Callithrix jacchus: one gene and its partners. The protein of the gene in region 1 interacts with the protein of each later gene in a pairwise test. Links are inferred from orthologs where the notes say so. Each region holds a gene or a part of one and is shown on either strand. Other genes may lie near its edges. The genes, in order: SAT1, DMRT3 and TCF25.

What was found.
Region 2: the proteins of SAT1 (region 1) and DMRT3 interact in binary tests that used the Homo sapiens proteins (3 or more experiments, as listed by UniProt). The two-hybrid records come from large-scale screens. The link is inferred for Callithrix jacchus from reciprocal best matches to the Homo sapiens genes SAT1 and DMRT3.
Region 3: the proteins of SAT1 (region 1) and TCF25 interact in binary tests that used the Homo sapiens proteins (3 or more experiments, as listed by UniProt). The two-hybrid records come from large-scale screens. The link is inferred for Callithrix jacchus from reciprocal best matches to the Homo sapiens genes SAT1 and TCF25.

The regions. Positions count from the first base shown.
Region 1 is NC_133524.1:24,515,452-24,519,195, forward strand, and holds the start of SAT1 (diamine acetyltransferase 1), read left to right. Parts: upstream 1-1,354; 5' UTR 1,355-1,461; coding exon of another isoform or gene 1,462-1,535; coding exon 1,536-1,601; intron 1,602-1,878; coding exon 1,879-1,930; intron 1,931-2,020; coding exon 2,021-2,104; intron 2,105-3,520; coding exon 3,521-3,622; intron 3,623-3,715; coding exon 3,716-3,744. Other genes in the region: uncharacterized protein LOC144581000, read left to right, coding at 1,462-1,551. UniProt on the Homo sapiens protein: Enzyme which catalyzes the acetylation of polyamines. Substrate specificity: norspermidine = spermidine >> spermine > N(1)-acetylspermine. This highly regulated enzyme allows a fine attenuation of the intracellular concentration of polyamines.
Region 2 is NC_133502.1:107,433,946-107,437,689, reverse strand, and holds the start of DMRT3 (doublesex- and mab-3-related transcription factor 3), read right to left. Parts: upstream 2,558-3,744; 5' UTR 1,946-2,557; coding exon 1,492-1,945; intron 1-1,491. UniProt on the Homo sapiens protein: Probable transcription factor that plays a role in configuring the spinal circuits controlling stride in vertebrates.
Region 3 is NC_133521.1:47,532,539-47,536,182, reverse strand, and holds part of TCF25 (ribosome quality control complex subunit TCF25), read right to left. Parts: intron 3,103-3,644; coding exon 2,972-3,102; intron 1,747-2,971; coding exon 1,647-1,746; intron 633-1,646; coding exon 539-632; intron 1-538. UniProt on the Homo sapiens protein: Component of the ribosome quality control complex (RQC), a ribosome-associated complex that mediates ubiquitination and extraction of incompletely synthesized nascent chains for proteasomal degradation.

The DNA of each region.
Region 1 (3,744 bases):
TTTGAAAACTGTAAAAAACGTAAGAATACACAAGCACATATTATTTTAGTCACTAGAGCAATGACATCATCACATATCCTGTAAATGTATAATTATTTCAAAAAAAAGTTAAAGGAAATGAAGCAAGTGGGGATTACAACAACTTTTAACAGCAACTGAAGTTAGAAGACAGATACCAACCACCAATGTGCTGAAAGAGGAAAACTTCTGAACCTCAAAATCTATAAACAGTGAAATAAACCCTTCAAGAATTTTAAGATGGAGGCTGGGTGTGGTGGCTCACACCTGTAATCCCAGCACTTTGGGAGGCAGAGATGGGCAGATCACGTGAAATCAGGAATTGGAGACCAGCCTGACCAACATGGTGAAACACCGTCTCTAAAAAATAAAAAAATTAAAAAAAAGAATTTTAAGATGGGCTGTTCCAAAGGTAGTAAGTTATCTCGATTGTTTATAGTCAGTTACAGATCAAACTCCTTATTTTACTCTCACTACTGCACTTGACTACTGTAATAAAAAAAGAATTTTAAGATAAAGACACATTCAGACAAGCAAAACTGAGAAAGTGTGGCAAAAGCAGATCTTTACTAAAGGAAATTAGGAAGAATGTACCTCAGGCAGAAGGAAAGGTGTCAAGGAAGATCAGAGATTTAAGAAGGTACAAGAAGTACCTTCTTTAAGAAGTAAGAAAAAATATCCTGTTAACTCTAAAAACTACAAGTATAAGGAAAAAAGATTATTGGGAAATCCAAATAACCTACCCTAGGAAATTCTAAAAACCACAAGAATATACAAGCTCACATTCCTTTGGTCATAACAGCAGTGTCATCATTAGACACCGGGTCACCTATGGAAAATTCCATTGCGAGTTGAAGAGGCATATGACGTCTAAAACTAGTTCTGCCACCGAATCTCTAGATCTTGGGATCTGCAGGGCCTCCCGGATCACACTTTGAGAACTGCTGCTTTAATCTTCCTCCCATCTCCTAAGGCCAGGGCTCCTGAGTTTGCTTCCCTGACCCGCCAAGGAGAAAAGAGCAAGGTCAATGGTCGGGGGCCGCAGAGGGAATTCCCCTCCTTTTGCAAGGGTTACTAGAGGACACACGGGCTGCTGGTGAGGTTTCCGGGAAGACTCCACGAAGCGCCACTAGAGGGCGCGACTAGCGAATCCCACAGCGCGCCCGGCCGCCCATGCTGTTGTCCTACGGGTTCACACGGGCTCCCGGAAGAAAGGGTGGTGCCTGGGAGAGGAAGCGGTGCGCCGCGGGGCCGCGACCTCATTGGACGAGAGACCTCCGCCTCACGGCCCAAGGCGGGGCTTCTCGCACTTAAGAGCTGGGCCGGACCAGGGTTCGAGTGCGCAGCTTAGTCGTAAGTCGGCTGAGGTTTTTCCGTCACTCGCCGAGGTTCGCTGGGTCATGGTGCCAGCCTGACTGAGAAGAGAACGCTCCCGGGAGACGAATGAGGAACCACCTCCTCCTACTGTTCAAGTACAGGGGCCTGGTCCGCAAAGGGAAGAAAAGCAAAAGACGAAAATGGCTAAATTCGTGATCCGCCCAGCCACTGCCGCCGACTGCAGTGACATACTGCGGCTGATCAAGGTAGCGGAGAGCCCGAGCTCCCGTCGGGGAGCGTGGGATGGAGATGGCTCCGTTTTCCGGGGTGGGCAAGGATCCACGTCTTGGGGTCTGGGCCGGTGTGAGAGCCCAGCCTGTTCCCTTTTCTGCGCCTGCCTCCCTTCGCCCCATCTCCGGTGCGGCCGCCACCCTGGGCAGGCTGCCACCCCGCCCCACCCGCCCCATTCCCTTCCTCTGAGCTGGCCTGGCCTGAGCCTTATTTTGTTTTCGGCTTCTCTCTCTCCTATGTGCATCCCCCCAGGAGCTGGCTAAATATGAATACATGGAAGAACAAGTAATCTTAACTGAAAAAGGTAATTCAACAGCGGCGGGGTGGGGGAATAGCGTTCGGTGCTTGTCACCTTCGCCGAGGCCATTACCGCCCCTGCTGTCCCTTTTTGCAGATCTGCTAGAAGATGGCTTTGGAGAGCACCCCTTTTACCACTGCCTGGTTGCAGAAGTCCCCAAAGAGCACTGGACTCCAGAAGGTAACCCCTCTCCCCTTCCAACAGACAGAGAGACCGAGTGTTTTGTAAGAAGTAGTGTTGGCTGTGTAGCCCTGACTCCGCAGGCCGAAGTTACTGAGAAGTTGGACAGAAAAAAATAGCAAGTGTTCAAAGTACTGAAGAAAAAAAAAATTAGATACGCTGCACTTGAGAATAATAGGGTAGGGTAAAAGAGTTTAAGTATCAGAGTGCTGTGGAGACTCGGAAGAGTTTAAGTTGCTTAAGTAAGTATCAGAGTGCTGTGAAGACCTGGAAGAGTTAGGTATAATGTCATTTGTTGTAATTCAGTTTCATAAAATGGTTCTTGTTTGACCCTAACGTGACCGTTTTTGTAATTGTGTTAAATCACATTTTTTTCTTTAATTTGTCCCAATCTTCAGGTTACAGTCTCTAGCTTCGCCATGTACATGGCCCTTCCGTGTACATGGATGGGCGGGGAGGTAACTAAAAGATCCTTTACACAATAAAGTAGATGATCATGATAAATGAGGTAAGGTCCTATTATCACACAGTTAAAACACGGTAGATCAGAAACCCACTATGATACTCGCTTCCTGTCTGTTTGCAAAGGAATATAAAATGGCTAGAAAGTTTAATTTGAAACCTTCGCCTCCATTTGGAATAGTAGATACCCGTTAAGAGGGTGTCAGTTGCCTTTTTTTTTCTTGCTGATCCCTGTTGATTGGTCAGAAGACAGCTCAGCTAAAAGGGGAAGTTGTTTGGGTGGGTGCTTTTTTTTCTGACGTCTGTTCCTCAGGCTAGAAGAAATCAGCAGAAAAACAGAAGGGATGAGTACTTTTTAGAGTATGTGGGTGTTACGTAATACCTGTTTCTGGGAAATGCTGCTGCTTCTGACTCAACAAATGGGGAGAGCAAATTGAAAATATGTATATTGGAAGGCAAGTTCTGAAATTAAACATTGTACTTTGGCCTGATGTTCTGACCTTTAAGGAAGCAAGACTTTGTAAACTTACAAATATCGACTATTCTGAACTGCCGTGTAAACCTGACTTATTCCCAAGTCAACATACCAGTATACCAATAGGATGTGAATAATGTGTGTGCAAGTTTAAAACCGTAGCAGTTTTGCTCTGGCAAGTAATGAAAGCTTCCTGAGTGTGAGATCCAGCAGTCTGCAGAGTGGCAAGTCCACAGTTGTAGCCTGACTTCAGTGAGTTCTGATGTGTGCTTTTTGCAAATACATGTTCTCAGAACAGTGAGATCATCCAGCAGTGGCCTGGACTGCACTCATGTAAATCATGAGACAGTCGTGGCTCCTTGTTTCTGTAACACATGCATGTATGTTTTTTAAAATCTATGATAGGCCTCTGATTCTGCAGCTACAACTTTTATGGAATGTTTTCCTTCTCCACATCTCATGTGATACTCTTATTACAGGACACAGCATTGTTGGTTTTGCCATGTACTATTTTACCTATGACCCGTGGATTGGCAAGTTACTGTATCTTGAGGACTTCTTCGTGATGAGTGATTATAGAGGTATGATTGAGTTTGGGGCAGAGGGTCTGAAGAGTTCAGGGCTGTAAATCCTTACAATGACATTTTAAATCGTACTTCTCTTTAACTTTTTAGGCTTTGGCATAGGATCAGAAATTCTGAAG
Region 2 (3,744 bases), on another chromosome or scaffold:
CTCTGTGGCAAATTCATAAATATAAAAAGATGAGACAGACAAAAGAGAGGACTGGTGAGCATTCCTGAGAAATGTTTATATGCTAACTTGGATTAAATATCCACAAAATTCAAGTTCAGCAAACTCTCTTCCATCTTTAAAATTCCCAGCTCTTCTCTCACACAGGCTGTTTGTTCTCAGAGCTTCGGGCCTGGATAGCATGACTGAAAGGGCAGAAGAACTGGACCTGCCAGCCACCCGTCAACTCACCACAAAACAGGTGAGTCTGCATCATTTCCCCAGCTGCACAGGATCCAGACAAAGCAGTCCAGTGCTCCTGAAAGCCTCTCTCCAGAAGCTAGGGTACTGTCTTTAGGGAGTTGGCATGTCAGTGTAGGTACCAGCTTTACCACAGTTCTACCTACAGGAGGGCTCTGGACTTTCCCACTCCTAATTCCAGCATGCCTTCTTCTGGGAGAAGGTGGGCCGTTTTCCTTTGTGCATTTGACCCAGAGAAACACCAAACACATGTCTGCTGAATTTCAAGAGCCATCAGAAGGGCTCTAGGGCTGGGCAGAACCGCAAGCTAGAAATTCCCCAGGAGGAGAGAGACTAAGAGGCCCAACTCAGGCCTGCCAAGCTCAGGAGGCCTGGAGGAGAGAAACAGATGGGTGGTGGGGGATCAGATTTTGTTTTTTATCTCTTTAAACCACGAAGACAGCTGAGGGCAGCCTGGGGAACAGTGTTAAAGGATCTAGGAGGTTCTGCAAAGGAGTGAATTCTGGCCCACCAGATTCTTGGTCCCCCTATCAGCTCAGGAGCCTTTCGGGACCTTTTTACGGTCATTGCTAAATGGAACTTTTCACCAATTACAATAGTCTGGAGGCCACGGAGCAAAGTTAGAAAGGGCATGGGGCAAAGCTAGAAAGGCAATGGGTTCTCAGAGTTGGAATGCTCGTCCCCACTCAAATTTTCCTGGGCCCTGGGCTGGGCCAGGTTGGGTCGGGCCGGCTGGGCGGGGCAAGGCCCAGAAGCACAAGCAGCTCAGAGTCAGCCAGGGCTGGGTCTTGGCTCATTCCCTACACCTAACCATTCCAACCCCCAAATTCGAGGCCCTCTAAAACCCGCAGCCCAGAAAACTCTGCCCCACGTAGGGCAGTGTGCCCGCCTGCGTTTTAATTTGGCCCCGTCTCGACTCCGTTTATCTCCCTGCTCAATCTGACACATTCCCCTTTAACCTGGGGAAGGCACCTGGCGACCCTGATGCACAGTCCCGTGGTGTGGCTCCCCGGAGGCGCCTTCCCGGCGGGCGCAAGTGCCACCCGCGCTGGGTCCAGACTCAGCCGGCTTCTCCCGGGAGAGGAAACACCGGCCTGTCGGAGGGTAGGAAGTAAAGCTCCGCCAGTCCCACTTCCCAAAACCTTGCCTCCAGGCCTCCCAGGAGGAGCTGCAGCAGGCACTCCGAAGTTGCCCAAGCGCCCGTCCAAACTCCCGCACCGCAGACACTCTTACCTGGCTTGGCGAGCTGCGCCTGCAGAGCCCCGGGCTGCGGCTCGGAGGTCCAGCGCAGAGCGGCGGCCGCGGCCAACTCGGCAGCAGGGCGCGGCGGCGGCGGCTGAGACGGCTGAGAGGCCGGCGGCGGCTGCGGGGCGGTGGCTGCGTCCCCGGGCGGCGGGGGCCCGGGCAGTGCGCGTAGCGAGTCCGGGATGAGGCTCTCCAGGCTCTCGTTGGCTTGCTGCCGGCGCAGCGCCACCTGCGCCGCCATGACCCTCTGCCGCTCGATGATGAGGATGCACTTCTCGCAGGTGCAGTCCTTGAAGCGGCAGTAACGCTTGTGGCCCTTGAGCCAGGAGAGCACACCGTGGTTGCGGCAGCGCGCGCACTTGGGCGTGCGCTGCAGGGGCGCCCGCGGCGGCTGCGACACCGGGCCGCCCATGTACAGGTAGGGGGAGCCGTAGCCGTTCATGCCCCAGGCTCCCGGATGAGTTGGCGGGCTGGAGGCCGGAGCGGGCCAGGGAGCGCTGGACGGCGGGGTTGCGAGGCACGCTCAGGGGCTGCCTCCGGGCGGCGCGACCCTTGGTCCAGTAGCGCCGGCGGTTGGGCGTGCCCCGGAACGGCCGGAGGTGCCGCAGCCGTCTTTCCAGCTCCCTCGGCGCTCACAGCTCGGCCTCCCGGCTCGCGCCCAGCCAACCCCCAACGCGGGCCGCTGCTTTGGGCGCACAGCCGAGTCGGCACGTCCTCCCTTGCTAAGGGGCAGCGGCGGCTGCAAGGAGCGGGCGAAAGCTCTGATTAAGGTCTGAACCAGCTCGTCTGCAGCTCCCTTGCGCGCTGGCCGGACTCAGCACCTCCTCCGCTGCCCTCCTCGAACCCCTCCTCCTTCCCACCACCACCGTCACCCCCACCCCTGGGGTCCCGGTCTCCTTGCACTCCCCGCCCCACGCCTTTCTCCTCCTTTGCTCCCCTCAGGTCCCTGCACTTCACCTTCCTGGCCACCTGCAGCCGGGCCACGCTCGCGGGGGCGCTCACGGCCCCCTCCTCCAAGTCCTCTCCGTCACCCGAGCCTGCAGCGGGAGACTGCAGCGCTCCGGAACGCGGCGTGCTCGTGGGGCGGAGAAGGGGAGGACCAGCGAGAGTGAGGGTGGGGGTCCATGTAAGGGAGTGAGGTGGCCGCTCCCCTTCTCTCTCTTCTCCTCCCTTCAGTCCTCCTGTGGCTGCGTTTTTCCGAGCCCTAGGCAGCTTTTATCCCGACATTTGGCCGTAGAAACTCAGCTCCGGGAGAACCCGAACCTACGGGAGTGTTGGGGGTGCATCACAGACCTGGGTGGAGTTTAGGATAGGGGATTGGAGTGATGTTGATTTGGGAACGTTAAGCTCTTTTCTTAATTTCCTTTTAAAACGTATTTTTTTTTTTTATCTTTTGTTGCTTTGGAAAAAATGTATGTGGAGCTCTGCCGGCCCAAGGATGACCACCCCCCCTTTTTTTGGGGGCAGGCAAATTTTACTTTTCTACCCTCCTCTCCATGTTTTAATATAAAACAATATCCTGAAAGGTCAGGGACATACATGCTCCCGGAAAGAATTTGCTAAGCGCCAGGTATAAACTTTCAAGGAGCAGACGCAGAAGCCACATTAGCGCCCCCAAGTTTATCTCTTCCCTCTCTCCCAGCAGCCACTGGGGGCAAACGCAGGTCTGGAGCCAGCCACTCAATTAAAATCCCCAAAGATTCTGTGATTTAATTATGGATATGGAATAGGGCCACTTTTGACCCCTTAACCCACAGACCCCAGTCATAGATGTCTTGGGGGAGAGGGTCCTTGCACAAGATGACAGCAGAAAACTTCGATTAGATTATTTGTGTTTTCCCATTCTCCCAAGAGTAGCCGGTTTGGCCTAGTGCAGACTATCGCTATATATGCACAAGGAAGGCCCACCCCCTCGCGCCTCCCCCTTGCCCATCAACAAACAAAAAAAACAAAAAACAGGTGGATACACTGGGAGCGGGACAGCCCAATAGCTCTATGCCAAGCGGGGCAGTTCCAGAGCCTTCGGTGGGTACGCTTCTAAGAGTGTTTGCACCAAGCTCATCTGGCGGGGAATCGAATGCTAGATGAAAGCGGGCAAGTCCGCTGCAATGCCGGACCCCTCGTGGGCACAGAGGCCCTTGTCCCTCCGGGAGGCCGCTTTTCTTCCTTTTCTCCGTACTGCCCTGGAAGTAAGCAGACAACCCGAAAACGTTCCTCTGGTGTTTGCTGTGAATTCAAGGG
Region 3 (3,644 bases), on another chromosome or scaffold:
GACCTCCTGGGCATGCTTGAGCGATACTCTCCCTCAGCCTCTCAAGCAGCTGGGGCCACAGGCATGTGCCACCAGGCCTAGGTCGTTTTTAAAATGTTCAGTAGAGACTGCATCTTGCCACAGTGCTCAGACTGGTTTTCAAGCAATCCTCTCATCTTGGCCTCCCAAAGTGCTGGGATTATAGGCATGAATCACTGTGCCCAGCCAGGCTTACTTCTAACACAAACAAATTTATTTTCTTTTTATTTATTTTTTAAGAGATGGAGATCTCACTATGGTGCCCAGCTTGGACTTGAACTCCTGGGCTCTGCAGACCTCCCACTCCAACCTCCAGAGTAGCATCGGGCGCGTCCACAGACAAAGGTCAATGTGGGCTGAGCCAATCCAATCTCTCCATCCTTGAGCCCAGAGAGAGGAAGGCGGGTCACCCTGGGTCTGTGGGCTCCGGTCCAACCTGATGGGCAGTCACGCACTGCCTCTGAGCTCATTCGCAGAAGGGAGGGGAGAGCTGCAAGCCCCCCAGGCCGGCTGCACTCACCTGTTCTCGGGTCTGCGGTAATCCAGCCGGCAAGCCCCGCTGGTGAGGCTGAACAAAGGGTGGAACGCACACTCCATACTGTACAGTGCTCTCTCTGTGGGCACAGAACCCCAGGGGAGGGTGTTACGGCCACGCACAGCAACCAAGGCCCCTCCTCTGATGATGCACAATGAGGAGAGGTCTGGAAGCAAAATCACAAAACTAGAATCCTGGACCCTTAGAGGGCAGACATGACCCTGGGCATCCCAGATGCCACTCTGAGTTTATTTCAACCACAGAACTTGTGAGCTTGAGACAGAAACACCTTAAACACTACGAGGCACAACTGCTGCCACATCCTGATGGAATCAGGCGTCCACGCGTGCAGCACAAACGTGTCAGATCCTGGCGGAATCAGGCGTCCACGCGTGCAGCACAAACGTGTCAGATCCTGGCGGAATCAGGTGTCCACGCGTGTAGCACAAACGTGTCACATGCTGTCAGAACCAGGCATCCACGTGTGCAGCACAAACGTGTCCACATAAGACCAGCATATGCAAGCTCACAACAGCACTATTATTTACAATAGTCAAAAAGCGGAAACAGCCCAGACAGCAATCAACTAATGACAGATACACAAAACGTGGTCTATCCACACAGTGGATTATTATTCAGCCACAAAAACGAATGAGGTTCTGATCCATGTTACGGTGAGGATGAACCTTGGAAATGTTATGGTAAATAAAAGCCAGAGACAAAAGACCACATAGTATAAGATTCTGTTTACGTGATATGTGCGGAACAGGCAAATCCACAGAACAGGAGAACAGCAGTGCAAGGGGCTGGGAGGAGGAGAGCTAAGGAGCTGAGGGGCTTCTTTTGCAGGTAATGAAAATGATCTGAAATTGATCATGGTGTCGGCTGCACAACTCTGGCATATACTAAACACCAGCAAACTGTAGCTTTCAATGGCTGCATTTTGTGCTCTGCAGGTCGTACCTCAATAAAGCTGTCATGGATATCCTGGCAAACCCCCTGCACCCTCTGACATCTCAAACCACCGCATCTGTCTTGATGGCTTGAGGTGCTCCCACAGCTGATGGGAACAGGGTGGGGGACTCCGTCTTACCTATGAGGTCTCGAGCCATCTCCTGATCCTCTTGAAAGCGGCAGGCATCGCTGAGCTGCAGGAGTGAGTCCACGTGATATGGGCTCGTCTGGAGCAGAACCTACCAGAAGGGAGGACAGGCCTGGAGGAAAGCCACACGCAGCCCTCTTGGGGACAGACACCCAGCAAGGCACCAGCTCCCAGGCACGCCCATCTTTCAGGCATTTAAAACCAGGGGAGGCCAGACACAGTGGCTCTTGCCGGTAATCCCAGCACTTTGGGAGGCTGAGGCGGGAGGATCATTTGAGGTCAGGAGTTCAAGATCAACCTGCCAGGCACGGTGGCTCTCGCCTATAATCCCAGCACTTTGGGAGGCTGAGGCAGGAGGTTCACTTGAGGTCAGGAGTTCAAGACCAGCCTGGCCAACATGGCAAAACCTGATCTCTACTAAATATACGAAAATTAGTTGGGTGGGGTGGTGCAGGCCTGTAATCCTAGTTACTCGGGAGGCTGAGGCAGGAGAATTACTTGAACCCAGACTGTGACTGCGCCAACGTACTCTAGCTTAGGTGAGAATATGAGATTCCGGCTCAAAGAAAAAAAACTGGGGGAAATTAATTCCAGGGGTGACAGTCACAACGTCCCCCAACTCACAATATGCTAGTTATTATTGCCAAGCTGAACCAAGCATCTGATTTAAGGCAGGAACTCAGAACCTGACACACCCAGGCCAGGGGCTACCTAACTCCCCACTATGCCCCAATAAGGAGTGGAAGCCAGCAGCCTGCTTTTCCCACAGGGAAGACGACGGTGAGCTCTCAAAAGCACCTTGCCCCCAGCCACAGTCCTGAGGTGGCATGGACAGGGATGAGGGTGTCCAGAGAGCGTGGAGGACGACCTCCTTCTGGTTCTGAGGACAGGGTTGGTTAGGATCTCGGGCCCCGGGGGCACCAAGCCTGGGGGTTTGTGAGGAGAGGACACCTTCACTGACAGGTGGGCCGTCCGGAGGCAGGGAATCTGAGCTGCTTCCCCTGTGCTGAGCCAGCAGGAGGCAACAGCAGCAGCCAGAAGCCCCAAAGTCCCAGGCCTGCCTCACACAGCAAGGGTCTCGAAGAACGGGCAGTGACAGCAGCACTCCAGGCTCTCCTCGGAGTGTGGACTTTGCCTAGAGCCTCTGAACACATCTCCCTCTGGTCACGTGGCCTGATGGCCCTGCAGAGACCGGCACCCTTCCTATTGGAAAGGGCAGGAGGCCGCACACCTCCCACAGTTACCACGGAAGGACATGGCCCAGTGCAGCAGTGGCTACACGGCCCTGCTCCTGTCGGGCTGTAAGGACCACACACCACAATGTTGTTGGGCTCCATGGACTCCACGGCCACCAGGAACTTGTGCTGCGCCTGCTGGTACTCCTCACTGTGCTCGAACGCAAACAAGGACAGGCCTTTTTTCGATTCCAGCAGCCGCATGGACAGACCTGGGAGGGGAGAATGCTCAGGGAGGTCGTGCCAGGAGCTAAAACTGTGGGAGCCTTTGTACGGCACAGCAGCTCCAAGCACAGCCCCCCACTCTGCTCAGGAGGGTGTGCTGGGAGCAGGAACCGTGGGCACCTCTGTGGGGCATAACAGCCCCCCTACCCTTTTGGTGTTCTTGACAAGGCCTCCGCGGTATCAACCAACTTGACCTGAGTGTGTACTTACGCATGTCACCCAGGTCCAGGCACCTTCCCAGAATACCCACCATCTGGTCTATACCAGCAGACGGTATCCTGTCTGCTTTAGTTTCCTATCAAGACGTGTTTCCCCCCAGAACTCAGATACAGCTCAGGCCTCACTGGCCTGGAGGGAGTGTCAGGGACAAGGACACATACAGTCCACAGGTCACCAGATCCGATCAGGCCAAACCCTGCCCCCAGACCAAGTCTGATCGGGGTGAATGTCCAGGGTGGCAGTGAAAAGGCAGGGGTGGAGTGCTGTGGTACAGATGGCCACAGCACTTTAGAACCCATGGCCACCCTCT